Linked DNA regions of Coturnix japonica. The protein of the gene in region 4 interacts with the protein of the main gene of each other region in a biochemical or structural test. Links are inferred from orthologs where the notes say so. Each region holds a gene or a part of one and is shown on either strand. Other genes may lie near its edges.

What was found.
Region 1: the proteins of SIN3A (region 4) and SMARCA2 form a complex in vitro, tested with the Homo sapiens proteins (2 studies listed by BioGRID). The link is inferred for Coturnix japonica from reciprocal best matches to the Homo sapiens genes SIN3A and SMARCA2.
Region 2: the proteins of SIN3A (region 4) and MXD1 form a complex in vitro, tested with the Homo sapiens proteins (4 studies listed by BioGRID, with this or other methods). The link is inferred for Coturnix japonica from reciprocal best matches to the Homo sapiens genes SIN3A and MXD1.
Region 3: the proteins of SIN3A (region 4) and TAL1 form a complex in vitro, tested with the Homo sapiens proteins (2 studies listed by BioGRID). The link is inferred for Coturnix japonica from reciprocal best matches to the Homo sapiens genes SIN3A and TAL1.

What each region holds. Positions count from the first base shown.
Region 1 is NC_029547.1:23,944,737-23,952,444, reverse strand, and holds the start of SMARCA2 (probable global transcription activator SNF2L2), read right to left. Parts: upstream 4,671-7,708; 5' UTR 4,518-4,670; intron 3,104-4,517; 5' UTR 2,960-3,103; intron 2,779-2,959; exon of another isoform or gene 2,685-2,778; intron 2,544-2,684; exon of another isoform or gene 2,425-2,543; intron 1-2,424. UniProt on the Homo sapiens protein: ATPase involved in transcriptional activation and repression of select genes by chromatin remodeling (alteration of DNA-nucleosome topology).
Region 2 is NC_029537.1:820,331-827,967, reverse strand, and holds the start of MXD1 (max dimerization protein 1), read left to right. Parts: upstream 1-2,963; 5' UTR 2,964-3,032; coding exon 3,033-3,291; intron 3,292-3,375; coding exon 3,376-3,475; intron 3,476-5,513; coding exon 5,514-5,543; intron 5,544-6,204; coding exon 6,205-6,319; intron 6,320-6,824; coding exon 6,825-6,984; intron 6,985-7,062; coding exon 7,063-7,250; 3' UTR 7,251-7,637. Other genes in the region: SNRNP27 (U4/U6.U5 small nuclear ribonucleoprotein 27 kDa protein), read left to right, coding at 74-189, 358-437, 648-712, 865-919. UniProt on the Homo sapiens protein: Component of a transcriptional repressor complex together with MAX. In complex with MAX binds to the core DNA sequence 5'-CAC[GA]TG-3'. Antagonizes MYC transcriptional activity by competing with MYC for MAX binding.
Region 3 is NC_029523.1:19,448,951-19,455,309, forward strand, and holds part of TAL1 (T-cell acute lymphocytic leukemia protein 1), read right to left. Parts: exon of another isoform or gene 6,271-6,359; coding exon of another isoform or gene 6,269-6,270; intron 5,417-6,268; coding exon 4,994-5,416; intron 4,463-4,993; coding exon 4,371-4,462; intron 2,089-4,370; coding exon 1,670-2,088; 3' UTR 1-1,669. UniProt on the Homo sapiens protein: Implicated in the genesis of hemopoietic malignancies. It may play an important role in hemopoietic differentiation. Serves as a positive regulator of erythroid differentiation.
Region 4 is NC_029525.1:1,981,533-1,989,195, forward strand, and holds the start of SIN3A (paired amphipathic helix protein Sin3a), read right to left. Parts: upstream 4,728-7,663; 5' UTR 4,671-4,727; coding exon 4,661-4,670; intron 3,872-4,660; exon of another isoform or gene 3,708-3,871; intron 1,496-3,707; exon of another isoform or gene 1,402-1,495; intron 380-1,401; coding exon 159-379; intron 1-158. Other genes in the region: PTPN9 (tyrosine-protein phosphatase non-receptor type 9), read right to left, coding at 5,194-5,402, 5,485-5,692, 5,766-5,916, 6,062-6,140, 6,432-6,501, 6,643-6,736, 6,870-7,198, 7,380-7,490. UniProt on the Homo sapiens protein: Acts as a transcriptional repressor. Corepressor for REST. Interacts with MXI1 to repress MYC responsive genes and antagonize MYC oncogenic activities. Also interacts with MXD1-MAX heterodimers to repress transcription by tethering SIN3A to DNA.

The DNA.
Region 1 (7,708 bases), on a different chromosome or scaffold from region 4:
CCATTTACATCCAACTAAAGGGGAATGTGGACCCAAGCAATAGCCACACAGATGCTGCAAAGCACTCTCCCCATAACTCCACAGAAAAACTATTACAGTCCACTTCTTCTCAGACATCTCCAAAAACAAGTCACATTTCAAAGCTGGCTTAAAAAACTTACACTGCAAAGCTGAGATACAATGTATAACAGCTTGGTGTTATCCTTAAATACTACCAAGCAAAATCAGAAATTATACCGCTAATGGCTCACAGTATTTGCATCACCCACTAACAGTAATCAAAGGTAGATGTTCAGAGTTTAAGACATGATTCACAAAAGCAGTAGCTTGTTACAATTAAAATAAATAGCCTATAGTTTTTAGAAGCAAATCAGCATTATGTGTTTTACAACACTCCTGGACACTATGCAGTGACATTTATGAGCACTTGACTACTGTTGTTTCATCAAAGAATCAATCAGTAAACAGTACGTTTACGTGAAACAGTGTAAAATCAGTAAAGCGGAAGAGTCACATCTTCAGCTAAAATAAACCAGAATTATTCTGTTCACATGGGAGAAGACAAACACAGAAAAGCTGAGAGACTCTGCCTTTGTATACTCAGATACATAACTTCACTGTAACTTGAAAATCTTCTAGAAGGTAACTTGTAGCTTGGACTACAAACCACAGAATCAGAAATACTGCAATGTAATTGCTTATCCAGATACTTCAGTCAGATAAAAACCCCTAGACGCTGCCTTAGCTGATTGTCTAGCCATCTACCAGAGGCTGGCTGCATCCTGTTGAAGAAATTCCTATTCCCACTGTGTAGCTGTTTCAGTTTTCCACGAAGAAACAAACTACTTAAACTCACAGACTAAATTCCCCAAGAACACTGAAACAGCACCAAGAAATGACCACCTACCAGCTGGGGATGAACATACTAACCAGCCCCATAGAAGTCATTCTAAGTCAGAGTTCATAGAAGTTAGGTTAAGCTATGTCACCAGACTTCAATGAAGAGGCCAAAGCACAGCCATGACCCTTTCCATTGGATTTGCTACAGAAGCCAACAGCCTTCAAGAGAAAAGGAGGGCAGGCACGACAGTTGGAAGTTTACTGAACTGCCTTTTAACCCCATAGCCATGGTCACCACTAACAAATCTGTCAATGCCCAAGATCAAGCCCATGTCTGCTGCACACGTAGGTTCTATTGTACATCCAGGGCACAGCGAACTGTCTCATGACAGCACTGATTGATTATAGATTAAGTTTCCATACAGTGACCTTTTCTACAAGTATTAATGATGATTAGTGAACATCATCTTCGTGTCAGACTCTGAAAAACAAAAGCCACAATTAGAGGTAGGCAGAGGGAAAGGAATTAATTACAGGTCTCTATTTAGATGGGGAAGAAAAGAAGGAAGAAAGCTGTTTCTTACTATGAGTTGTTTAAAATAAAATATCAACAAAGATGAGGCAAAGGCATCATTTTCATGACAAGAAATGTTCTTAGCATTTGCCCTAGAGATCCTGGCTCTAAATGATTCACCTAGGTGCTGCAACCCCACAGTAATGTGCAGGGACACACTCAGAGCAAAACGTTTATCCACAAGAAGAGTAGACTTTAAATGTGTTAGAAAAAATAAAAACAATTTTCAGTCTTAGTCTTCTAATCCTGCTACACCAGCAGACTACCAGAGCTGTGTCTGAAGAGCCTTGCTTCTTTCTCCAAAATCATCCTTCCTTATTTTATGGCTTGCAAATAAGACATAAACTGTTCTCTGCTGCCATTTTCACGACAAGCGGTCTTTATGTTGTAACACTGTTCTTCTCATCCCGCTGGAGGATCAACTGAACAACTGAAAAATAAGACTGATACAGAAGAGATGTATGTCCAAGAAACACTCCATACAGAAAGAACACACACGCACGCCAAAAAAGAAAAAAAGAAGGAAAAAAAAAGGTGTTTTAACAAGCAATCTGCAAAGATGTCCAAATTCATTTAAAGAATAAAAGTCTTTTTCAGTTTAGGATTGCTAGTTCACAGCAACACTGATAGTTCAGGCCATGAACACTGATGGAAGAAGTGCAGACCACGCGTATTGTGACCTTAACTTCAACAAAACCTGAGAAAATATATCTAGAAATGTTAATTTCATGTACACCTTTGTCAAGAACGTATTTCATATGAGTGTTAGCTGGAGCACTTTTTCCTCTTGTCAACTTCAAGCCTCAGGCGTTGGTCAAAGCGTTTTTCAAACTTCACAAGAAATGCTCACAGACCACTTCAGAAATGAACAAAAGAAAAGATCTGAGACTACTTTGAACACACTCTTCTGGCGCATATGTTCTATGAAACACCACAGAAACACCAATACTGAAGCTGAGACATAACAACTCATGAGAGAAACGCTGGATTTAATGAAGCTTTAACCTCACCTCTGTCACGTCCACGCATTCTGTGTGATACACCCAACCCTGGATGTATTTTAAAACGTTCATTATTCGATCTTTCCTTCTATTGCTGACACAACCCGGTCTTCACCGCTACCACTCTCCTACATCATTTTTCGCACAGAATCACAAAAGGACAAAAGAAAAGAAGTCAAAGACAGTAAGGGGGCAATTAGGCTCCCGAAGAGAAAGTGTGCCTCGATTTGCATAACAATGCCCGGCTCACACGGCAGCGACGGCCCCACCTCGGACTGGTGCACTACTGAGGGAACTCGGCTCCGAAACGTGTGTTTGCCTGGGCCACAGAGGCTGTGGGTAACGCTAAACGACACGAACAAACTGGAAACAAAAACAAAAGAGATTGCAAATGGCACAAGGCGGTGTCACAGGTCCTACGTCACTTTTTTGCAGAAAGCGCGCACACTACTTCCAGTGGTAAAAAAAAAATAAAAAATAAATAAATAATTAGATGAAAACCGATCGCTGTTTTACCGTTCCCTTTCTCCGGTTATTTACTTACCCAAAGTATTCGCGGAAAGACAAAAAACGCGGTGTTCACCGAAGTTCGGCGAGGCTGCGTGTCGTCAACAGCCGATGCCGAGGCGAATCGCGCGGCCACAACAACCGACACGGAACGAGACTAATTACTTAATAACGATGCGCGCTTCGCAGAAAGCAAATTGGAAAGGAGAGGGAGGAGAAAAAAAAAAAAAAAAAAANAAAAAAAAAAAAAAGCATTTAACGGTAACTTCGGCTGCAGCGTGAAGGACCGTAACTTTCCCAGCTGTGCACAGACTGCCATTCCACCATGACAAATTTGGGGGGGAGGGGGAGCAGTCAGAACCCGAAGCCCGTCCGCTCCGCTCCGCTCTTCGCCGTCGGTCCGGCCCCGCTCGCGGGCTCCCGGACGGCGTCCGCGGGACCGCTACGCACCGCCCGCGCGGGGCAGGGCAGCGCCTCGGCAGCGCCAAGCGGCTTCCGGCCCGGCCGAGGAACGTAGGCCTCGGCGAGGCGGCGGGCTGCACCCCGCCGGGCCCCGCGCGCCCCTCCGGCCTTCTCGGAAAGTTTTCGGCACGGCCCAGAGGCTGCACAGCGCAAGGAGACGCGGCCCCGCTCCGTCCCTCCGCCCGGCCGGGCCGTGTGGCTCCGTACCGCGGCGGGGTGCGGCGGCGGGCGGGCTCCCCCGGGGGCACGCCTCAGGGCAGAGCCCGGCCCCGAGCCCCGCCGCCCCGCGCCCCCGCCACCATGTCACCGCCACCCAACGCGTCCGTGCGCGGAGGGGGCCGCTTCCTGATCGTCCGCCGCCGCCCCGGCGAGGACAGAACTTTTCCAGGTGCCGAGCTCGGCCGGCACGGCAGGGCGCTGCGCGGCGCCGCGTCCCGTACCGGCGGCTGGTCCGACCGAATTAAAAATAAATAAATAAATAAATTTCCGCGCACACCGGAAATAAAACGCTTTTCGCTTGTTAAGGCGATCGCCAAACCGCGAGCGCACGTTGTGTGTGTCTGTGTGTGTGTGTGTGCGTATGTCGCTGTGCGGGGCGGGGGCCGGGCAGGCGCGGTGCCCGCGGGGAGCAGACCGGAGGCAGCGGAAGCCCCGCGCGGGGCCGCGGCCCTCCCTGCCTGCCCTCCCTCCTCCCTCCCGCGCCGTGACAGGCGCCCAGCCCGCGGCCTCCCGCTGCCAGCAGCGCTGCGGAGACAGCCCCGCACCGCGCTCAGCCGCAGGACGCCACAACTTCCCCGAGCCACGCAGCCGCGGTGGGGAAGGGGCGGGCGGCCCCGGCCGCTGCTCCGCACTCCGACTCCGTCCCCGCTGCGGACGGAGCCAAAAACCCGCGGCCGAACGGCGCTGGCGGGCGGTCTCTGTCCCATTCCCCGGCTGGCGGTGCGCGCGGGGCTTATTCCCCCGACACCGCAGCCAAACTTTGTTCTCCCCGCGCCGCGCTGGCGGTGCGCACACCGGGGCGTACCGGGCGGGGGGCGGCCGGGGCTGCGCTCCGTGAACGCGCGGGGCGGCGGAACGGAGCTGGCGGGTACGGAGCTGACGGCGCGGGGCCCCGCGGGGCGAGGTGCGTTTACCTTCCGCTCGGGCGGAGCGCCGCGCCGGGTGTCGCGCCGCTGCCTCTGGGCGAGCAGCGGAGCGGGGACGGAGAGCGGCTAGGCGCCGAGCATGACTTCACCGGTGACAGCCATTCCCTCCGCTTCCCAAACTCCGGCCCCGCCCACGGCCCCCTCCGCCGCCTCCCCGCGCCGACGCCGCCGCTGCTCAGGAAGCGCCGTTCCCACTGGCCCGCCGGCGGGGTCTGCCCGCCCCCCAGCGCGGAGCCGGCGCCCCTATTGGCTGCCGCCGCCCGTCGCTCAGCCGGGAGGCCGTAGGGCGGGGAGGTGCGGTATGCGCCCGGCTCTGCCCGCGACAGCCGCGCCGCCGCCGAGGCTCCGCCACGCCGCCTCCCGGCCCGCCCGCGCGGAGCGGAGCGCGGGGCTGGGGCCACCTCCGTGAGGAGGCGCCGGCGGGCGGCGTGGGGAGAGGTGGAGAAGGTGCTGGAAGCGCGACGCTGCCCCGCGGCCTGCCTGGGCCGGCCCGCCGCCGCGGGGCGGAGCGGGGAGGAGCCGGGCGGAGGGCGGCGGGGCCTCCCGCACCTGGCGGTGTGCGCTGCGGGACACCTGCGGGAAGGGACGCACACACACAAACAAAAAGGCTCGCGGAAACGCGATACCGAAACTTCGGGGCCGCAGCCGTGGCGCGGTCAGGAGGCGGCCGAGAACGTTCAGGGCGGTCGCCCCCTGTCCAGCTGCGGTGCCGAGCCCCGCCGGAGCCCCGTGCCGCCGGGAGGAGCGGCGGCGGGTCGGTGTCGGCACGGTGCGGGCGGGTAAATGGCGCCGCCGTGCCGCTCCTTGTCCCCCGCTGTCGGCACGCTGCTCGCTCCCCGGGCCGGAGGGGCTTTATCCGTGCCCGGCCACGTACCCACAGGAGGCGGCGCGTCGCCGGCGCTGTTTGCGGAAGGTACCGCTGTTTATGTAACGGCGCCGCGGGGCCGCGCTCGGAACAGGCCGTCACGGGCTGCTCAGACATAAGCACGCCGGCAGGCAGAGCGCGGCTGAACGCGCGGTCCTGACTCCGAGGCTGCCGCTGTGCAGGTGATGTGCCCGTCCTACTGCGGGCTTTGCAAGAGATCAAGTTTAAAGTGAAGGAAAGCGTGCCTCTCCCCTCTGCCGCCTGCGTTTAACGTGCTGGAGTTGGTGACTGGGTTTAAGGACCCGGAGCACCGGCGGGTGTTATTCTGTGGTTGCTTTGGACCTTTATTGCTGGTGGAATGTGAGCGGTAACCATCCGGTTATAACCTAGCGATGCAGTGTTAATGACTGTTGTTGCTGTGTGTTCTGAGGCGTCACCGCTCGATCATTAGCTTCGTCTTGATTGTTTTTCAGAGTGACTGCCAAAATACCGATAGATAATTGTCAATCAGTGGTAACGCCGGGCAACGCCGAGTGTCCAATAAAACGACTAGGGAAGGTACTCAGTTCGTCACTGTTTTTGTGGGCAGCATCGAGGTGCAGACGAAATAAATGGAAACGCTTTCAGTTCTGTGTATACAAGTATCCACTATCGCTGCTTGAAACTGTGATCCACGAGTGATGTGGGACTTAATTTTAAACCCCACTTTATAAGTAGCAGTCCAGCTTCTTTGAACTGAAAGAACATAGTTCAGGCTTTTAGGAATTGATTCTAACGCAGCTGAAAGGATTCTCCCTCTTTCTTTTAATTTTTGTCATACCATAACTATAAACAGGTATTTGGTGGGCGGATTCTTTGCATGTTTGTTTTTATCTATTCCCAGAGTCAGTCTGTAGGCCCTGCACTTTTTGCAAAGAGAAAGCAAACCCCAAGCAATGGAGGGGAAGCTTCTGTGCTGTGCAGGGCAGTATTCAAACCATTACAAACCAGCTCGAGCCAGTTTCTGTGGGTTGTGTTTTTGGGGGTTTTTTTGTTTTGTTTTTTTATGGTTGGCTGTTTTTTAGTTGTTTTTTGTTTGGTTTTGCTTTGTTGTTTGCAAGAAAGGATACAGGGAATAAGGAAGGAAAGTAAAATTAGTCTTACAGGCAAAAGCTGTTCATTAGGCTTTTAGATAAATGTAACTATGTTTAATTAATAATTGTCTTTATTTTAGGGGGTCACTGGTAGCCAATTCTCTTGCCCATTTGGGACAACAAAACCTCAGATATTGTTAATGTAAAACTTTTTCCATTTGGTCGTTGGTAAAGTATGAATTAATCTGAGTGTAAACTGACTGACAGGTTGGATTTATTTCTTTTGTCAGGATTAAAGATATTCAACTAAACTGGCAGATCATTGTCATAGGCTGCAGTTACAGTTGTAGCTGTACCTACCATTACCTCAAAAGAAAGCCATGCTGCAACAGTTTGTGTTCTCTGCCAGCAGTTACAGCCATTGCAGCAGAAGTGGCAGAAAATAGGGGCTTGCTTTCTTGATTCTTTGTTTTGGCACCTGAGTCCTCAGCAAAGTCCAGCTGCTAGGGTTAGATGGACAGTGAAAATGAGTTAAAGCTACCACATTCCATGAAGGTGGCTTCGTGCTCAGGTTTCTATGCAATTAACAACAACAAAGACTTATTATTTTTTAAAATGTACCCAAGGAAGCCTTAAGTGAGCAAGGTGAAGTCTTGCCTTAAGAAAACAGATGCCTGATGATTTCTGATTGCTGTTTTGGTAGAGAGTATTCACCTCAAAAAGCAAAAAGACCTATGTGCATGCTTGAACTTTTATAAGTTTTGAAAGGTGAAAATGGGGTGAAGATGGGATATTTCTTGCTGTATGGTGAGGTCATTTAGATCATCATCTGGGGACCTCAGACTGGCCTCCATAGGTTTGCTGCAATAAGGTGGGAATGTCTCGTGTTACACATCAAGATAGTTCATGTGTCTGGCTTACCCCAGAAAAAAGCAGCAGCCCTTTTTTTCTTTCACTTTCCACTCCCCTCGTCCTTTCTGCTAAGGAGTCAAGACAAACCATGTGATGATCAAGCAAATCATTGATATAAGAAACCCTGTAAAGTGCCTTTTTTACTTGTGCCCTCTGCAAAAGCCTTCTCATGTCCCATCCATGGGGTTTTGGAGACAGTACTTTTATTACCAAAGCACATGAATCTTAGAAGGAAGGATATTCTACCTACCTGTGTACTGATCTGTGGTGTGCAGTATGGGTGAGTATGACAGATTCCATTATAATGTCACATCTTGGCCTGATATAAT
Region 2 (7,637 bases), on a different chromosome or scaffold from region 4:
TCCATCCCCGACCCCGTTCCCCGTTGCTCCGGTTCCCGTGATTCTGATCCGTTCATACCGGCCGTTTCAGGTCCCCCCCCCCCCGGCGGCACCACTCCAGCTCGTCCTCCCCGCTGAGACTGAAGGAGAGACGGGACGAGGAGAAGAAGGACAGTAAAGACACCAAAGGCAAAGAGCGGCAGATCACGGGTGAGCCAACATCCCCAACAACCCTTATATTAACTCATGTTGGGGTTATCGGTGCTGTGAGCAGCATTGAGGGGCTCTTTGGGACTTATTGAAGTGCTTTAGAAGTGTAAAACCACCGGTTGTGCTGGGTGATGGTGGGTGAATCCCCCTGTTTCGTTGCCTTTACAGAGGAGGATTTGCAAGGCAAGACGGAGGAGGAAATCGAGATGATGAAGATGATGGGCTTCGCTTCTTTCGACACAACAAAAGTGAGTTTGCTGGGCTCAGAGCTGCCTTTCCTCACCCTGCAGGGCTGCATTACAGCACAGTGTTGCTTGTACCCCAAAACAACTCCCCCCGTTGCATTGCACCCATTTGATGTGGGGTTTCTCCTTCACATCCCGGAGCTGTGGCTCTGTTTGCTTTACGTGGGCAGCTCTTGGTGCTACACACAGCTCTGCTCTTTCTCCTCTTTCAAGGGCAAGAAAGTGGACGGTGCTGCAAACGCATACGCCATCAACGTGTCCCAGAAGAGGAAATACAGGTTTGTGCTGCTGTGATTGCACTGAATCCACCTGTTTTCATGTGATAAAACAGCACTGCTGGGAAGGGGGGGAGATAAAACAGCATCTCAGAGTCCAGGTTGTCTATGGGCACAGTGAGGAGCTGATCTGTTCCTTCTCCTCTCCCCCACAGACAGTACATGAACAGAAAAGGAGGATTCAACAGACCATTGGATTTCATCGCTTGACGCTGCACGGAGCAGCTCTGCCTTGTTCACACACCTCAAAGGTGGGACAGGACTCCGTCACTCCATCCTCAAAGGGATTTTGGGGTCATTTAGAGCAAATCCGGGTGCTCTCGCTCTGCCCTGCACCGAGGGAGGGTGAACTGAAGCTCATCGATCTCGGCTCCGTTTGCTCCTCGCCAGGATTTCCTGCTGGTTCTATTGGTTGTTGTGTTATTTTTTTTACCAGCTCAGCATCGTCTGATTCAAACCCATCGATATTTTTCCCTTTCCTTTCTGGTTCATCCCCAATCTCCCTTTATTATAACATCACTCAGGAATAAAGTCAGCGAGAAAACGCTGCTGGAAAACCCACCCAACAGCTGATCCCCAACTCAACCTTTGGGATTTGAGCTGAACAAACTCACTTTGCTGCTTCTTTGTGTGTTCAATGGGTCACCCCAGGGTTGGGCAGGGATTCCAACCCAAACCTTGGGCAGGGATTCCCCCCATACAGGGATTCCCATCTCAGCTCTATGTTCCCTCAACCCCAGGAGGTGGCAGCACAGCCCTACAGCCAACATTGCTTTCAACCCCATCTCAATCAGCACATAAACCTCCCAGCGATGCTTTAAGATGAGGACATGCGGATCCAGCCCGGAGCTGAGCTTTTTGCTATGAGTTTTATGGGGTTTTGTGCTATTTTAGGGCAGGTTTGACTTAGTAAATCCAGCCCTTATTGGTGCCGGTGACTCACCCGGGCTGTCAGTGCCATACGGGGCTGTGTTGGTGCCCTGTCATCACTGCGACACGCCTGGAGCCCTGCGATAAGGCCCCGCTGCCAGACAGGGAATTCCCAACCCCCCCATCCCATCATTTCCTTTATCTCTGTGCTAATTAAACCTCATTAAACCAACCTGCTCAAAATGAGGAGAAAAAAGCCCATTTGTTTGGCCACACTTAGATGTGATGGGTGCTTTCATGAAGCCCCCAGCCCAATCCCCCCCCATTCACCCCCAAACCCCCCCAGCCGTGTTCTGCTGTTCAATGGGGTTCTATTTAGGGCCGCTGCATTGGGGGCGTGTTCCCCTTTTGACCCCCCCCCCCCATTAACACACACCCAGGTTTATCTGGTTTCCGTGCTGGGGGGGTGAGTCACCCCAGGGCAGGGCTGGGTTTCGGGGTGTGGGGAGGAAACAGCCTCCCCCCCCCCAAAAAAAAAAACCCAATTCCATCCCATTGGGCTCTATGGGGTGTGGGGGGGGTCCCTGCTGTGGGGTGAAGGGCGGCACCTTTGGGTGCTGGGGGAGGACTATAGGGGTCCCAGTTAATAGGGGTGGCTGCTTATAGGGGCTGCCTGTTTCTTATAGGGGCTGCCTGTTTCCTATAGGGGCTGCCTGTTCCTTATAGGGGCTGCCAGTTTCCTATAGGGGCTGCCTGTTCCTTATAGGGGCTGCCTGTTTCCTATAGGGGCTGCCTGTTACTTATAGGGGCTGCCTGTTACCTATAGGGGCTGCTTGTTCCTTATAGGGGCTGCCTGTTACCTATAGGGGCTGCCTGTTACCTATAGGGGATGCCTGTTACTTATAGGGGCTGCCTGTTCCTTATAGTGGCTGCCTGTTTCCTATAGGGGCTGCCTGTTACTTATAGGGGCTGCCTGTTTCTTATAGGGGCTGCCTGTTACTTATAGGGGCTGCCTGTTACCTATAGGGGCTGCCTGTTTCCTATAGGGGGCTCCTGGTTCCTATGGGGTCTCCATCCTTTATGGGGTCCCCCCATACCGGGGTCCGGGGGGTCCCGGCCCTACAGCCCCACGTTGACACTTGGCCACGCCCCCTCGCCCTCTTCTCGCCCTCCCATTGGCTGCGGGAGGCAGGAAGTGAGTCAGCCCCGTTGGCGGCTCGTCCAATCACAGCGCGCCTTCCCGGAGGGCCCGTCTGATCGGCGACAGCGGGGAGGGGGCGGGGCTTCCATCGGGGCCGAGCCAATGGCGGAAAGGCGTGTCTCACAGCCAACCAATGGCGAAAAGAGACGGTGGGGCGGCATCCAATGAGAGGCGGCGGTGGGCGGAGTCGGCGGAGCGGCCGGGCGAGGAGCTCAACCCGGCCCGGCCCGGCCCGGCCCCGCAGCAGCGGAGATGGCGGCGGGCGGAACCGACGGGGCCGGTGTCGGGTCCGGTATCGGGTCCGGTATCGGGTCCGGTGTCGGGTCCGGTATCGGGTCCGGTATCGGGTCCGGTATCGGGTCCGGTGTCGGGTCCGGTATCGGGTCCGGTATCGGGTCCGGTATCGGGTCCGGTGTCGGGTCCGGTATCGGGTCCGGTATCGGGTCCGGTATCGGGTCCAGTATCGAGCTGCTCCTGGAGGCTGCCGAGTACCTGGAGCGTCGGGAGCGAGGTACCGGTATTACACCGTGTGTCCCCCCCCCCCGGTTCGTCCCGGTGCCGCCCGGCGCTGCCCGCTCCCGTTGTGTCCCCACAGAGGCCGAACACGGCTACGCCTCCACGATGCCCGGACATGGAGCAGCGCGAAGGGACAGAACGAGGAGCAGGAACGGCCGGAGGAACGGAGGGGGCGGAAGGTAACGGGAGGGGGGAGGGGGGCAATGGGGGCACATAGAGACCCATAGAGACCCATAGAAACCCATAGAGAACCATTGGGACCCATAGAGACCCATAGAGAACCATTGGGACCCATAGAAACCCTATAGAGAACCATTGAGACCCATAGAAACCAGATAGAGACTCCATATAGACACATAGGAACACATAGAGACCCATAGGGACCCATAGAGACCCATAAGGACCCATAGAAACCCATAGGGACCCATAGAGACCCATAGGGACCCATAGAGACCCATAGGGACCCATAGGGACCCATAGAGACCCATAGGGACCCATAGGGACCCATAGGGACCCATAGAAACCCATAGGGACCCATAGAGACCCATTGGGACCCATAGAGACCCATAGGGACACATAGGGACCCATAGAGACCCATAGGGATCCATAGGGACCCATAGAGACCCATAGAGACCCATAGGGACCCATAGGGACCCATAGAGACCCATAGGGACCCATAGAGACCCATAAGGACCCATAGAGACCCATAGGGACCCATAGAGACCCATAAGGACCCACAGAGACCCATAGAGACCCATAGGGACCCATAGAGACCCATAGGGACCCATAGAGACCCATAGGGACCCATAGAGACCCCATAGGGACCCATAGAGACCCATAGGGACCCATAGGGACCCATAGAGACCCATAGGGACCCATAGAGACCCATAGGGACCCATAGAGACCCATAGGGACCCATAGGGACCCATAGAGACCCATAGAGACCCATAGAGACACATAGGGACACATAGAGACCCATAGGGACCCATAGGGACCCATAGAGACCCATAGGGACCCATAGAGACCCATAGGGACCCATAGAGACTCATAGGGACCTATTGGGACCAATAGGGACCCAAAGAGAGACATAGAGACCCCATAGAAACCCATGGAGACCCCATAGGGATCCATAGGGACACCGCTGTCAGCCGGGGGTCAGCAGCTGTCACAGGGCTCCGGGCTGGGGGGACGTGGAAGCAGAGGGCACTGCCTGCACCAGGAGATTGGGATCTATTGGGGCCTGTTGAAATCCCATTGCCATGGGGGGGCTGTGGGCTGTGGGGACCTTTGGGGACGCCGCTGTCATGGGATGCTCAGTCTATGAGGATTCCATGTCACAGTGCACACAGCTGAAGGTGCAGTCACACAACGTGGCAGGCAGAGATGCTGACACTGAGCTCTTGATTTCGGCCTTTGCTTTGGATGTTGCCTTGGTGTGGTTCTTGTGCCCAGGTTCCATTTGGGGGCTCTTAAAGTGGCAGATGAGATTCAGATCCAAACCCCCACAATGGGGAGGAGAGATTGTGCCCCTAAATGTGACCCATGGCCAATTCCTGCCGCCCCTCCCGGCTCCTTCCTGCTGTTTGCTCAGGGAGGAGCAGCTCTGCCATCTCAGGGCACGGCACCACGTCCTGCTCCGGATCACGTCGCATGGGGACGGGTGACCTTTGCCAGCTGTGACAGCAGGACGTCCCCGTCCCGTCAGCGAGCGCCCAGAGGTTCCTTAATGGGGAGATAAGGAGCTTCGTTCCTCACTTTAACATTGCTCACAAGGAATGGGAGCAGCAGGACTCGTGCTTTGGGGCTGCTGGTTGTACCTTAGAGATGCGCTGGAGTTGTGCTCTGCTCAGTTTGGGGTTGGTGTTGGGATGAGGAGAGCTTCCCCTTCCTGTGTGGTGCTGCTCAGCGCTGGTTGGGCCCCTTTGCTTCCTCCTCTCCTTTACAACCACTCACCCGGGGGGGTGTGTTGGGTGCTGCTGCCATCCTGTGCTGTTGGTGCTGCTTTGTGCTCCCCATAACCAGCAGCGAGCCGTCCCCATCCCAACCACCTCAGTGGGGTCTCCCTGACACTGCCATCTCTCTGGGTATCTCTCCCTATCCATCCCTATGCCACCACATTTATCATCCTGGGTGCAGTGACCCCTCTGCAGACCCCCCCCCTGCTGTCTGTCGTCCTCCTGGAGCCGAGCATTTCACAAAGTCCTCTTTCTTTTTCAGGTCGACTCACAATGAGATGGAAAAGAACAGGTGAGAATGGGCCGGGACCCACACGGGATCTCTTCTCATTGCACATCAGGGCTGCCCCTCTCCTATTCCAGAAGGAGCCGTGCCATGCTGTGCCCCTGGTACTGCTTAGTGCCCACCTGGGGCAGGCAGCTGGAATTTCCCTGTGGCATTTTCACCCCCTAGAAAGGGGTTTAAATCACACACCTCCCCCTGCTGAGCTGCTGGGGTGCAGCCCAGCCTGATGGAAAACAACCTGAGTGAGGGCTCAGCTCAGTTTGGGATTGACCCCAGCAGCACAAGCGCGTGTTTTGTTGGCAGTGTCATGCAGGAGGCACTCAGTGCAGGCAAATGCCTGTTTATTCGCATGCGGAACGAGATAGGCAGGTCGTTGCAACATCCCCATCTGCCCTGAGTGTGTCAGTGGGGTACGGCACAGGAGGTGTTGCAATGGGAACGGAACCGGAATATACTGAGCATGGGGCATCCTGCGCTGCAGGAGGGAGCGTGGAGTGCTGCACGTTGCCTGCTCCTGACCCAGAGGAGGCTCGAGGGCCGTGCTGTGTTTGCAGCCCTGTGCTGGATGTAGCTGGAGCAGTTTTATTTTGCTGTTCCTGCGCTGATATAGAGGTCAAGATGCTGCGTGGTGTTGGGGCACACTGAGCATCTGATGGTTTTCTTGCAGGCGTGCCCACCTGCGGCTGTGTTTGGAGAAGCTGAAGGTGCTGGTGCCGCTCGGCCCCGAATCCAGCAAGCACACCACGCTGAGTTTACTCATGAAAGCCAAATTGCACATCAAGGTGAGTCTGGCTGCACCAGAAGTTTCTGAGGGAGGGCTCAGACAAAGCTTTTCCAAAGCCCTCAGCCTCGCTCCTGCTCTGTTGGCACCATGTGGCTTCCTGGTGTGTTGACTGCTTTATGGTTTGCCCTTTACACTGTGACTCTCACTGAGCACATTTGGTTTTATGAAGCAGCAGATAACCATGGCGGCACGGCGGGACTCAGCCTGCGTGCCACTGGTGCCTTATCAAGGCCTGGAAATAGAGAAAAGGGATAGAGAAAAGCACTGCATAGAAACCATTCAGAGGAGGGAGCATTGTTAGTGTGCCAGCTCTCTGCTATGGGGTTGTATCAGCAGCAGTCTGGCTCTGAAGGGGTCTGGGAGATCTGGGCAGGCTGATGTGGTGGGTGGTGAGCAGCCCATGGCATGGGTTGGGGCTGGAGGGGCTTGGAGGTGTGAGGCCATGACTCTGATCTTTAAGGTTCCTTCCGACCCAACCATTCCATCCTTTTCTCCCCCTGCAGAAGCTGGAGGACTACGACAGGAGAGCCCTCCACCAGATTGAGCAGCTGCAGCGTGAGCAGCGGCACCTGAAGCGGCAGCTGGAGAAGTTGGGCAGCGAGAGGATCCGCACCGACAGTGTTGGCTCCACTGTGTCCTCGGAGCGCTCCGACTCGGACAGAGGTGAGACCCACACATCTGTGGGTGACGTTTGGAGGCCTCACTGAGCTCCTTGTGATGCCGTTTGCTTTCTGCTTGCAGAAGAGATCGACGTGGATGTGGAGAGCACCGACTCCCTGCCCGCAGACCTGGACTGGAGCAGCAGCAGCCCCAGCGACTCGGATGAGCGCGGCAGCCTGCAGAGCGTGTGCAGCGACGAGGGCTACGCCAGCTCGGGTGTGCGGAGGGCGAAGGCGCAGAGCTCTCACAAGCTGTGCCCTGCTCTCTAAGGATCAGACCCCTCAGCTCTCCCACCCACCGCTCTTTCCTGGTTGGTAGCGAACCAGACCGTCCCGCAGTTCCCTTGTGCCGCTGACACCAAGTCCGCTTTGCCCCGGTCCCAAGCAGGGCTGTGGGTGCTGAGTTTCTCCCACTCGCTTCTCACCCCGTTGGGAAGCTCATCTCAGCGACACTGTACATTCCAGCCCCGTTTTGGTGCGCCTGGGAATATCGCAGCGGTAACAGCAATGCTGGATGAGCTCAGCTTTCCTTTGCCTTGCTGTTACTGCTCCCTATTCCAGATCTTTGTAGTGTTTGCCCACTAACAATCAGCACCAGGGCCCTAATATGCATTGTGTGGGTGAGACCCAGCCTTGTTGGTAGCTCGGAGCAGGTAG
Region 3 (6,359 bases), on a different chromosome or scaffold from region 4:
GGGACTGAGGAGGTTGTACCATTGGCCAACTGTTCAGCTACCAAAAAGGGAGAAATAATAATAATAATAATAAAACAACCAGAATTCTGGGGGATGAGGAATCTCAGAGTGTTGGTGGGGTTATTTTTTTGCAATAATTTGACAAAAAAGTGAATGAGACCCCCTCTCCCCCCAGGTCACTACCCCCTGCCCATACCCAGCGACACCGGTGTCTACAGCAGCCCCTCGTGTTCAGCATTGCCCCATGGTAACCCCTTCACTTAAGCTATCCCTGGAATCAGGAGGGTTCATTGTCCTCCTTCTCCCCACTACACACAGGGGGATACTGTTGGTTTCTGAGAATCTGGGGCTGGGCTCGAAGCCCTGGCTTGGGCACCTAATGCACCTGCTCCATGCTGAGAAAAGTCTCAGCCTATTATTTACAAGAGGCCCTAAAACCAAGCTCTAAGGCTTTCTCCCTTCCGAAGGATGTTTGGATTGTGGTGTAATGCAGTGATTTCTTTGCCTTGGAGCCTCCGCACATGGTTTGAAACAGAGGAACCACATAGCACTGACGCTTGGCCCCAAACCAGCACTGCAGCCCCTAAGCTCTCGGGGTGATCCCATCAGTGCTCTTAGCACTCACCCCATGCCAGGAGATACAGCAAGGCTGCAGCTCCTACCAGCCCCTGCCAATCAAGGGCCTCCTACTGTCTAATTGCATCCAGCTTGTGGGCACTTGCAGGGATGCACTATCACCACCACTTTCACACAACAAAAAACTCAAAGCATACCACCGAAACCCTTTTATAACCCTATGTACACACAAACTGTTGATGCATTGTTAATTTCTTTCGCTTTCTTTTTTTTTCCATTAAAATAAAGCCCCTGGTTCAAGGGGTGGCATTGCTAGTCAACTTTTCTCTCCTGAACCACCTCTGAGTTTCATGTTCCTTGAGAGATGCTCAGCCCTATGAGAAACCTCAGGGGAAACTTAAGGACACCACTGTAGGACTTCACCCACTGTGTTACAGCACAGGGTTGGGAGCTCAGGGGGCGGCGGGGAGCACAGAACACCCTATGTACCTTTATGTTCAGTGGATACTGCATGACGGCATTGAACAGAAGGAACCTCACGTCATAAATACAACACCCCAAACAATCCAACGTTAGGAAGAAGGGAAAGGAAAGGGGACAAAAACGGTTGGAAAAAATAAAAAAAAAAAAAGAGAGAGAAAGAGAGAGAAAAAAAAGAAAGTCTTAATCCTTTTAATAGTTCTTTTGCCGAGGGCATTTTCACCTCATTAAAAAGATACAGTCAGAAGGTCTTGGTCAATGGGAGCATGGCTCGGACCAGTTGCTTGTGCTCCACAGCCCTATGCTTCATTCCTCATGTCTCGGCCACGTGACTACTTGAGAAGCGACCCTCAGGCAGCCCCCAAGAAAACCCTCAGAAAGCTGGAGGGGTGCTGGCCACGTTCCCCTCCCATCCTCAGAGTCAGTATGTACAACGAAGACGACTTCAATGCTTTTCTTCTTCGTACGATCCCGTACCTAAACACCGAGCGTCCGTCCCATTTGGTTGGCCAACGTGCCAACATGGGCCGAGCAGACGGGGAGCCAAAGGTCCCAAATCCCACCCGCTTGGGTCTCGCAACCCTCTGAGCGCTCGGGGAGCGATTTGGGGTCATCACCGCTGTGCGCTGCCTTCAACGGGGAGGATGGCATGGTGCAGGTTCCGTGCGTGCTTGGAGTCGAGCGTGTCGTGCTCCTCCGTGAAGCTGTCTGGACTCGCTGCTCCATCCAAAGAGCTTCCACAGCTGGAGTTCGGAGACAGCATGTCCTGCAGGAGGTCTTCCTGGACTATCCCCGAGTCTTTGTTCACTTTGCCCCTTTGGTTTCCTTCCTCCTCCTGGTCGTTGAGCAGCTTGGCCAGGAAGTTGATGTATTTCATCGCCAGGCGCAAAATCTCATTCTTGCTCAGCTTTTTGTCAGGTGGATGCGTGGGGATGAGTTTGCGGAGCTCTGCGAAGGCTCCATTCACGTTCTGTTGCCTCCACCTCTCCCGGCTGTTGGTGAAAATACGGCGGACCACCTTCGTGTGGGGACCTGCAATTGCAATGGCACACAGTTATTAGCAGTGCCCACCGGGTCATAGAATCACAGCATCACAGGATCATTAGGATCGGAAAAGACCTCTGAGATCACCCAGTCCAACCATCCAGCTACCACCAAAACTGTCCTTAACCGTTTCCCTCGGTCCCTCGTCTCCGTGGTTCTTGAAACTCCACCACCTCCCTGGTCATTTAATAATTTGCTCATTTCTCAAATTACTCAATTTATTTTAGTCCCATCATCAAGGCACAGGACCAGGAGTGAACTAGCAGGAAGCTAACCAAGGAGCTCACCAGATAGCTTTATTTTTCTATCCCAAAAGTCACATCACTGGGACAGAAGAAATAGGCATAAGCCGAGGCTTTAACAGCTCTGAGATCCCAATATCTGCCTTCTGCCCTGATGTCACTGGGATCAGAAGCTGGCAGAGATCACCAGTTCTCTGGGTGCTTCATGTGATGGGGCAGCAGGACTCGCCCTGGTGTAACACACAGTAGAAGTCCTTGCCCGAAGGGTGACCGTGGGAGGAAGACAAAGCAGCCATATTCCTGTAGGGCATGTAACACAAGAGGTGTTCCTGTGCTCAGGAATACAATCATCCGTTCTCCCTCTATCAGTTCTCCTTTCAGCTCATCAAGGCAGCTCCTGATGGCTTGAGGTGACATTGCCTTAATGCCGGGAGAGACCCACAGCAGAAGTCAGCCCAGAAGTAAAGTCAAGACTGCAGGTCCTTGTGTCCACAGAAAGCAGTGTGTGGAAGGAGGCATGCCGTCAGCCACCTCCATCCTCACATCCAGGACTAACTGGCAGTGGAAGGACACAGCAACCACAAGAAACTATGGGAGAATGACTGTGCTGGAAAGAATAGGGAACATCACAGGCAGTGAAAATCACCACAAATTCAGAAGCAAAGTTTTTCACTTAACACACTGATGAGTTGCACCCTAAAGGATGGTCTGTGGGATTCCTATCACACCCCATCTCTCCTCTTGTGGGGATCAAAGTGACCTCAGCCAACAGAGCTGCCTGGCTCTGCTGAGTGCAGTGACAACATGCTGCCATCTCCTACAGCAAGACAATTCCTGCTCGTAAATGCTCTTTCTGGACAAAACAGAGCACACAGCCCTGGATTTAGGAGGTGCAGCTTAACATCTTGTAGCACTCATAAGGGAATAAGGAAAAAAAAAATATGTGGATCATGTTAATTATCCAAAGATCTCAATCTTCACAGGCTTCCAACACATCTCACTCACAGGAAGCTGCCTACTAAGAGTCATCACCTCATAAAATGCTGAAATCAAACATCGACCTGCCCATTTGCCTCCCCAAACAAGATCAAGAATAGAACAAATTCTGAAGCCACTGCAATGATTGATTCTTACATCAGTGCCAGCAACTGAATTGAAGAAAGAATGGGTTCGGGGTGTAGTGTGTCAAGCAGTGGAAAGATTTAAAATACCCTTTAGCTGTATTATAATGGAAGGGCTTCGTTTCTCATAAAGAAGCCCCCAAATGAAGCCAAGCAGTTGGCTGCAAAGTTATGCCTGGATTTTGTTCCAATCAATGGGTTGATCAATGCTGGTTGAATTGTTATCCTAATTACAGACCTGAAGGGGAAAAAACAGCAAGAAGAAGAGCTTCCAAAATGACAGAATATCCTCTCAGATATTTTCCCACACCTCCATATCCACGTGTGTGTGTGTTTTGTACAGGGTGGCACCATCACTGTGTGCTCTCCCTGTTCCCTGCATACCCCCGCAGTGTGCCTTCACTATCTGAGTCCCCAGGAGCACAGGGACAGCCCAGCAGTGGTGACATGTGCTGAGTCTTCATGTCCATCCAGTACTTGTATTCCCCCCCCCAAAACTGACCCTAATTCTGCAGACTGACACGAGGTGGGATCTGCAAGATTGGGCCCTACCTGTATGCACCTGGGGCCAAAAATGTGGATATAATCAGATATTGTCCCACTTTGCAGAATACAGAGTGTCTATTTCTATAGCCATAGAATCATTGAGGTTGGGAATGACTGCAAAACCATCCAGTCCAAACCACCAACCCATCCTCACCATTGGACCCCACACCTCAACACAGCCCCAGTGCCTTCCTCTATTCATCTCAGAGGGACCCGTGGGGCCGGCTGCCCCCAACCAGCTCCTCACACTGTGCCCAAAGGCACCAGCCACGCTGTGTGTGTTGTGCCTTCCCCAATAAGGGGCACCCGCTGCATCCCACCGTATTCCCCCTTCACACATCGGGCTTTTCCCCGTACTCACCGTCGGTGATCTCCATCTCGTAGGGCGACGGTCTCCTTTTCACCCGGTTGCTGCCGTACATGGAGAAGGAGTCCGGCTCGCCGAAGAACCCGCTGCAAACAGAGGCAGAGCGGCGTGAGGCGGCCCCGACCGCTCGGTAGATGCTCACGGAGCCCGCAGCCCACGAAGGATGTAAGAGGAGCCCGGCGTGGGATACACGTTGCGCCCGTGGGGCCATTTACCGTCCCTGGGGCTGAGCAGGGGAGCTCCGGGAGCCCCGCACAGCTCAGCCCCTTATGCCCATACACCACTACAGGACCACAGCGAAACGCCCCATCTCGGCTCTGACCGTGGTATTTCTGCCAGGCTTTCCCTCTCCCCCCCAGCTCTAGGAACGACAATTTTTCAATTTTTCGTTCCGTTCTTCTGCTCTTTTTTCTTCTTCCCCCCTTTCTTCCTTTGCAAAGTTTCCTTTCTTTTCCTTTTTTTTTTTTTTGTTTTTTTTTTTTTTTTTTTTGGCGATGACTCAGCCCTCCCCCAAACCCCTTTCCCCCAAACAACCCCCTTCCCCAAACAACCCCCTTCCCTCTTCTCCTTCCCCCTCAATCCCGGGGACGCGGTGGGGGCCGGGGGGAGGCACGGACCTGCCGATGGTGCCCAGCGGTTGCCCCAGGTTGTAGAGCATCGCCCTGCCGGGGGGCTGCAGCGGCAGCGCGGGGGGACTCAGCTGCACCATTCGGGCTTCGCAGGCGGCTTCGGCGGCGCGGCACGGCTCGGCTCCCGGCGCTCTCTGCATCGCCTCCCCCGCCGCCTCTCGGCTTTTTATGTCCAAGGAGCCCCCCCGGCGAACCAACTCGATGACGGGCACGGCGGCGGCGGGGGGCCCGGGGGAGGGTCGGCCCGCCTCTTTGGCCGCCCCGTTGAGCAGCAGCTGGGGCTCGGCCGGAGGCTCCATGCCCCCTCGGCTGCTGTCGGGCTCGCTCGTGGGCTCCGCTTCGGGGTCGTGGCGGCGGGCATCGCGGGGGTCACTGCTGGGGGGCGGCGGGGCGGGCGGCCTGTCCATCGTCCTGCGGGGAGAGCAGCGCTCGGGGCGGCCCGAACCCGACAGGGGGGTCCCCCCGCTTCTGCGGCGTGATGTCACGCAGCGGTGGCGTGACGTCACGGCAGAAACACCTCCAACCCCCTTCCCTTGTACCCCTGTACCAATGACCCTGGAACCCCCCCCATCCACACACACACACCGTACCCACAGGGGCAGGGAACTGGAAGGAGGCCGAGGGTTCTCCCCGCTCAATTTTGAGGACATTTCGGTCCATTAGGGGGGATTTTTTACTTTATTCGTATTAGAATAATTGTTATTAATTTTCAACATGGAAACCAAGCTCCAGGCGCTGCCCAATGGAGGGGAGAAACGCTCACACAAAGCCCCGCACCCCCATGAGCTCAGCAGGAAGGAGGAAGGGGCCCCGGCTCGGAGCAGCCGCGGCCGCGCACGGCAATTGTCTGCGGCCCCGCTCCCTTCTTTCTCCCCTATAACGAAACTATTGCGACAGAGCCGAGGGCGGGCAGCGCTATCGCGACTATTTCTCCTTTTCCCACCGCCCTCTTCGCTCTTTCTTTCTTTTTTCTTTTTTTCTTTTTTTTTTCCTCCCTATAAGTAACGGTGCAAATCTCATTCCCGACATCCCCGCTGCTTCGCTTTGGGTCAATAATTATCATTTCTGGGTTGATCCAACCCCAGAGAAAATTATTATTATTATTATTTCGATCACACCTCTCCATCTGTAATAATAATAATAACAGTCATCATAATATCAGCCGTTCAACCCAAAGCTTTACCGCCTGCCCCCGCCCTGCCAGCCCTCCAGAAAGAGCATCTAATTGCCTATTCCCATATTGTATAGGAAGAGATTACTCACATGTGTCATATTTAAGTAGGGACACCGCGAGTCTCTCCCGTTTCAACAAAAGCGCTCTCAGTGTCAGGCTGAATTTACTCCTCCCACCTCG
Region 4 (7,663 bases):
TTTCCCTTGTGCTGTTATTATCTCCCCTTTCAAAGAGTTGACTCTCCTCCTGTTCATAGGCTCCCAAAACCTTGTCCCAATCCTGGACTTCTGCTGTGCAAAAGCAACGTGTTGAATGGCTTAACCATAATTTCCCCTCCAGGATATAGAAGACCCACCTGGTAGCTGGGAGTTACCGAGTATTGGATCCCCGTGGCAGACTGCATGGTCTCTGAGACTGCCTCATACACCGGTGGTGCCGGGGCGAGCACACGGTGCTGGTGCTGGAAGGCGTCGGTGCTGCTGGTGATACGTCTCTGCTGTGCCGTGTACACGGGTGACTCCTGCTCATCCAATCGCCGCTTCATTCTGAACTCATGCTCGGGAAGCACTAAAAAACCTGGGAGAAACAGAGCAATTAAAGAGGGACATTGATTAACCACTCCCTGCCAGCGCTGGGAACACCGAGTTTGCCAGGAGCAGGTAAGACAAGTTTCGTGCTGATTCCTTTACGTTGCTATCTTAAGATAGGGAAACAGAACTAAGATTCAGCATTCTGCATGAAACGTGTAATGCAAACACACAGCTTTCTTGATAGAAATAAAGCCCTGCTTTCCAGTTGAGGATTTGTTCTGGCACTGATAGCAAAGCCCATCCTGAACCTCCTCGGCAGCCCAGGCTGGATAGGATTCAGGCATCAGAGATGCCTTAGAGCACAGGAGGAGGACAGGGAGCTTTGCCTTGCTGCCTTGGTACAGCAAGCCCTCTCCAAAGCAAACCTTCAGCCACAGACACACAAGCTCCCCCAAAGTAAGTGTACAGGGCAGTGTAAACCCATCATCAACATAACAGACCAAACTAGTGGAGAAATATACAAAGGTACTGCCAGCAATACACGTGGCAGCCAGCTCCTCACCCAGCTCCTTTCACATGGTGGGAAGAACTGCCTGCTTTAAGTCTGCTTAAAGCTGCTCTGCAAGTTACACCTCCCAGAACACCAGCCCCAAAGCTTTGGAATATACTCTGAGCATGCTCCAGCAATTCCCTTAGCTCTTTGTAACTGCACCAGGTGTCTTTGTGCTCAGCTACTGGACGAACCAACAGCCTCCCAGGCTCACAGGGAGCTGCTCTCATAGCCTTTAGCTCTGAACAAACTTCTAGTTGTATGCTAATGGAGCCTGGACCGAGCAGAGCAGGCTGGCAGTGAATCCCAGTGCTTTGCATGACAATGCCAGGCCCTGGGCAAAGCCTTGGTGGCATCCATTTCTAGAAGGCTACACCAACATAGAACTGAAGCCTTGGGCTCTGCCAACAGCCAAGCATTGCAACTGCCCCAGCTCCTGCATCTCACGGGGAAACACGTGCTGGCAAACGCTCCCAAAGCACATTCCTTCCATCCCTTGAGGTCTCACTGATCTTTACCTGGTGTGTCCCACAGATCTGCTCTGTTAGGAGGGCAGACTGCAATGTAGCAAGCTGTACCTGCTGCAGAATGGTATTCCGAGGGTAACTACGACCACAAAATCACTCAGAACAGAGTGACATCACAAGCAGTGCTATGGTTACCATATGGCTTTCAGAGCAATGGAACACAGCCCTATGATGGGCAGCATTCTCCATGCGGACTTTGACTCAAAGCATTTAGAAAGCCCCAATTCAAATTGCATCATCTGCGATGCTTAATTGGGGAGGGAAAAATAAAGACTGCGAAATACAGCATGGTCTGGGTGAGACTGAGAGCAAGCCACAAACTTTAGGTACTGTCCTCCAATAAGAGCATCCATCTATATGCTCAGCAATGGCTTTACAGAGCAAGCTCCACTCTATAGAGACCACATGGACCTGCATCCCCTCCCTCCCAGCACCAATCTATCTTTTAACTTCAATCAGAGCATCTCCTTACAGGAATACACCCCTCCACAGGAGGATAAAAGCTTTTTCACTTTCCTTTTCCTGGGCTGTAAGTTCTCCCCTTGCAGGAGAGCAGTGAATAGTGCAGGTCTGCTGCGTGACACCTGTTGGAGCCACAACACTTCTGCACACACAAATGATGCTTTCAAGAACAAGTTGTGAAACCCAACCCCACAAGAGAGATTTCAGACCTTGCAGATGCAAACCCGAGACACTCCTGAAACAGGGGAACAGCACAGCTGCCGGTCAAGCATCTAAGATTTGCAGGAGCTGCTTTAAAGCCCTTAGGAGGCTGCAGAATGCCAGCTACAGGCACCTTGTGAATATGAACCTCTAGAGAGGAGCTCTGATGCCACTAAGAGCCAGAGATGAGGACAAATCCCAAGCAGAGGGACACTTTTGCATGTCACCTGCTGCCTGAGCAGGCTGGAAGGACACCCCAAACTCACAGATCCTCACATTAGCAGCAACGTTGCTGTCACATTGAATTTTAAGCGTTAGTACCTGGACTGAGCTGTGTAGAGTGAGGATGGTTTGCTCTTAAGGTGGAAAGGACCCAAAGCTTGGAAGCAGCCCATGAGTGGCTCAGGATCAGAGAGGTGACATCCTGGCTGCTTGCTCGTGGTATGCCCTGCCATGTGGGTTCTCCTCGAGCCTTGGCATCCTTACCTATGGTCTCCCTTCTCACATGCAGGCAGAATGAGAGCAGTACCTGCAGCCACTCTGTGACAGCAGAGCCAGGGGAGCTGGGAGAAAGCAGCACAGCACCGAGAGTGCACCCATAGCCCTGCAGCATGGAACAGCAGCCATAGAACTGTGTTGGCTTCACCAGCCACGATGGCTTCCCAGTATGTATGGCTCATACATGCTAGGAAGGTGAGCAACTCACTCCTGTCATGGTTATGCCTTTCCGACAAGCTCACAGCAGACTGGTGGCCATGAGCACAGCGTGAGCTATGTCTTCCAGCACCCGTACACAGCAGCGCTCTGTGCATGGCTTAAACGCAACGGGATCACGTTCTTATTTATGTACCACCTCGCTGGGCGTGCTGAAGGTTTCTATGCCCCCATTGGACACAGTGACCATGCATAAGTTGGGCTTGGAAGGGACCTGTGTAAGAGGAAGGGCTGGGTGCCCTCTGGCCGCTCTCCCTGCTTCAGCCCCAGCTTTACTCACGCTGCCCCTCAGCTGGGGGGGTGGGGAGGAAAGGAGTGGGGCTGTTCCTAACGCCGTGCTGTGGGGTTGGAACTACGTGATCCTCGAGGTCCCTTCCGACCCGGGTCATGCTGTGATGCTGTGTGGGAGCAGGATCCTACAGGTGCTTTGAATCAGCACAGGCTCCTCGTGCTCGCTTGGAAGCGCCAGAGGAGCCTCCAAAGCAGGAAGCAGGAGCCGTGAGGGCAGCGCTGCTGGGCCGAGCTGAGCCGGGCGGGGCGGGGCGGGGCGGGGCTGAGGCGGCCCCGCGTAGTGGGCGGCGCGATGGGCGGGAGGCTCCGTCCCGCAGCGCGCCCAGCGCCGCTCGCCCCGCCCGCCGCTCCCGCCATGCCGGGCTCCCCCCGCACACACACACACACACACGCGGGAGGCTCCGTCCCGCAGCGCGCCCAGCGCCGCTCGCCCCGCCCGCCGCTCCCGCCATGCCGGGCTCCCCCCGCACACACACACACACACACACACACACGTACACACTCACACTCACACACTCAGGGCTCAGCGCGGTACCGGGCCCTGCCCTGCCCCGCCCCGCCGGATGGCTGCTCCCCCCCCCTCAGCCCCTCACGGCGCCGCGTCCCCCCGATGCCGCCTTTCCCCTCACCTGGAGGCGGCGGTGCCCGGCGGAGTCTCGCTCCGTCCCGGCGCTGCGCTGAGCCCCGCGCTCGGCCCGCGGGGGAGGCTCGGGGCGCCGATGTGTGTAACCGCCGCTCGGCCGCCGCGGCGGAACGCTGCCCGCTTCTCTGTTCCCCGGGAAATCCCGCCCCTCCCCGCCGCAGGGAGGGGGGAGACCCGCCTCGCGATTGGTCGAGCCACGCGTCGCTCAGCGCGCGGCCCAATCGCCTCGCTCGGCCCGCCCCCTCCGCCCGCCCCCATTGGCCGCGGCCGCCAGGAAGGGGATGTGGAGAGGAAGGGGAGGGGGGAGCGAGACCCGAGAAAAATGTCCGTACGGCCGGCAAGCCCCGCCCCCTCCCGCCCCCGCAGCCTTCCCATTGGGCGGCGGGCTGAGGAAGCAACCAATCAGCGCGGCGGACCGCTCCGCCGTCACGTCGCGGGGGGGTATAAAGCCACGCCCCCTCTCCGGGGAGCCCTTTTGTGGATGTTTACATCGGGGCGGACCGGGCCGTGATGGCGGCGGCACCGACCGCGCGGGACCGGCACGCACCGCCACGCCGCCTTTGTCCCACCGACCCCACACCACTTCCGGGAGCCAGCACGTGGGGGGGGGAACACAGCCAGCAGCCAATGGCCGCGGGGGGCGGGACCGCACGGCGGCGGAGCGGGCGCTCCCCACCCCCTCCCCTCACACACACACACACACATACACACACATATACACACACACATACACACACACATATACACACTCACATACACACACACACACACACAGCCGCGCTCCCCCCCCACTCGTGCGCGCTCCCGCGGCGACCGTTGGGCGGGCGGGAAAAGCGCGGGAGCGCGCCTCGCTTCCTCCCCCCTCAGAGCTCCCCGGGCCTTCCCATCCCATCACACCCCACATGAGGGGCCCGCTGGGCGGGCAGCGCTGTGACATACCCTGTGACATACCCTGAGCGCGCAGCGAGGCGTCCTGAATGGAAACGGGAACTCCCCCCGGGGCCCATTGGCCCTACGAGGCCGTTCGTCACCGCCGGACCGCCCTCGGGGGGCTGATGTGGGGAGGAGCGACGAGAAAGCAGCTCGGAGGTGAGATCGCTCTTCGGTTTGCTCGCTTAATGTTAAATACCACAGGGGAAAAAAAAAACCAACAAAAACACCCCCAAAAAGCTCCTCCCCCACGCTCCGGGATTATAAAAAAATAAGAATATACACATTCCAAGAGCTTATTACAGTATAAAGTTCCCGATGCAGCAGCTTGCGCTGGGAACACAACCCCCCCCCCCCCATCCTTCAGGGCTGTTCTGCGTACAGTCTAGATGGTCCCACCGAGAAACGAACAAACAGACCAAAAAGGAATAAAAATCATAAGAAAATAAACCATCCCAACCCACCCCCCCTCCTTTTCTTTTTGTCCCTCCTGCCCCGGCTTGCTTGAAGTTAAGGCACAGTTCCCAGCTGGCAGGGCTGTGTCAGTGCCCGGCCGAGCCCTTGTGGGCGGCAGGCAGCAGGCCGCGGCGCTGGGCGTGCTCCAGCACTGCGCTATAGCAGAAGTAATACTGCTCCGGGGTCTGGATGCTGAATGCTCTCTGTGTCCTCATCCGCTGCACCGTCTGCTGGATGTCCAGAGTACCCACATCCTGCAGCTGCGATAGGCAGATGTCCAACGCACACAAAGTACCTGGGGATGAAGGCAAGCAACGCTCAGCCAACACAATGCAATGCAACACCCCCCCTGTGCTGGACTGTGCTGGACTCCTTACCCGTCCTGCCGATGCCGGCGCTGCAGTGGACCACAAGCGGAGGACCCCCCGGGTGCCCCTTGAAGCGTGGTCCCAACGCACTGACAGCCACACGCTGCTGCTGCTTCACAGCCCCCAAGAAGTCAATGAGTGTTGCTGCCGATGAGGGCACGCCGTAATCCGGCCAGCTCAGGTATTGGAAGTGAGAGAGCAACCGCCGCTCCTTGCCCTAAGGGTGAGTGGGGTGGTCAGTGGGATGGGATAGCCCCGCCACAACCTTAGCACATAACCTTAGCACACACCTCGGCACTGTGGAGCTCTAAGATGGTTTTCTTGTAATGGCTGAGGTTCTCCACGCCCAGGTTGGTGATGGTCAGCGCCCCAAAGCGCATCTGGAAATCCTTCTCCAGGGGCCAGTACTGGCCGCACTTCCTCCTGCCCCCCTCCTCCAGCCTGCGGATGAGACAAGGTGACACGGGGATAATGTTCTTCCCTGCCAGCATCGTGTGGTGCCCTGTGTCCCATCAGCTGCTCTCTGGCTGTGACAGCAGCTGATCCAATAGCAAAACCACTTCATTTTGCCACCCAGGGCACTCACCGAGTCGTCATCACAATCACCAGGACGTTCTGCTCCCACACCAGCCTCCAGAAGTCCTCGATGGTTTTCTTCAGGGGCCCTGCAGGGACAGCCTGCTGTCACTCAGTGGGGCTGGGCAGGACAGGCAGCCCCTGGGCATCCATGGATGTGAGAACCACCCAGAGGGTGGTGATGCACTGGAACAGGTTGCCCAAGGAGACTGTGGATGCTCCATCCCTGCAGGCATTCAAGGCCAGGCTGGATGTGGTTCTGGGCAGCCTGGGCTGCTGCTTGGCAACCCTGCACATAGCGGTGGGGCTGAAACTAGGTGATCATTACAGTCCTTTTCAACCCAGGCCATGCTATGTTTGTGTGAACACACAGCCCTTACCTTGTGTCCCAATGTACGCGTTCCTCTGCTTGTAGCCATCCATGAAGCTGGCGTTGATGTAGTCGGTCAGCTGCGGACAATGACACGGCATGAGTGTACCACAGGAATGGCTTCAGCATGACCCCTGGGCTCAGCTCCAAGCAAGCAAAGCGAGTGAGAACCCAGATACTGGGCGTCAGGGATGGGCTGGTGGAATGCAATGGGGGCTCACCTCAGGGCGGCTATAGGGCCTGGCCAGCTTCACGCGGGTCTGGTCCAAGCAGGGCACGTCCCCATAACGGTTCTTCTCCTGGTTGTAGGGCGCCCTGGGGCAGAGACAGGGCAGGGCAGCAGGGCATCCCAAGGCAATGCCCGGGGCTCTGCTGCCATCACCTGGCTGCAGTCCCGGGAGCAGCGTGCACCAGTTTCCCGCTGCCCCTCCCACCCCATTCAACTCACAAGGAGCAGACGAAGGTCCCGGCCGGGCTCCGGCGCCGGATGTCCTCATACTCCTCATAGATACCGCGCTTCTGCTTGCGGCTGACGTGCTCCAGCAGCTCCTGCGGGGTGAGAGCCTTGGGGCCGGGCACGTGGAGCGAGCCGTTGTCACGAGGGGTCACCAGTGGCACCAGGATAAGCTCATCCAAGGGGTCGGGGTGCCCGTTCTGCTGCGGTAGGAAGCGGCAGTTCCAGCTGAGCGGGTCCAGCTTGAGGCAGCCGCCGAGGGTCTCGGGAAGGCACTCGCGGGGCAAATGCTCCTTCAGCTCCGACATCTTCACCATCTGCACCTGCAGAGGACAGGCATGGGCACTCAGCTCAGCCGGCAGGAGGGCTCTCCTCAGCTCAAGCAGCAGAGATCTTCGGGCATATTGTTCCAAGCAGCAACCAAGTTTATCTTCTCCCACGTGGCTCGTTTTCTTTCCCTTTTAAAGCTGCCAGCCCCCAGGAGCCTGCAGCCCCCACACTCACCCTCTCACGCAGCTTCTCCTTCAGCAGCAGGCTGATGATGGAGTAGGGCACGCGGAACCACATGGGTGCTCCCACGATGAACACCTTCTTCAGCCTCGCTGGGAAAGCGCCCTGTGGACAGCGAGGGCTCAGGGACGGCTCGGCTCCACGCTGCAGGACTAACCCACACCCAGCGTGGCCCCACAGCAATGACAACCGCAGGGTCCTGGAGCAAAGCAGCTCCCAGCACAGTCCATGCTCCAGTCCACATCGATTTCCATGTGGCCAGCAGAGGGCTGGGCTTG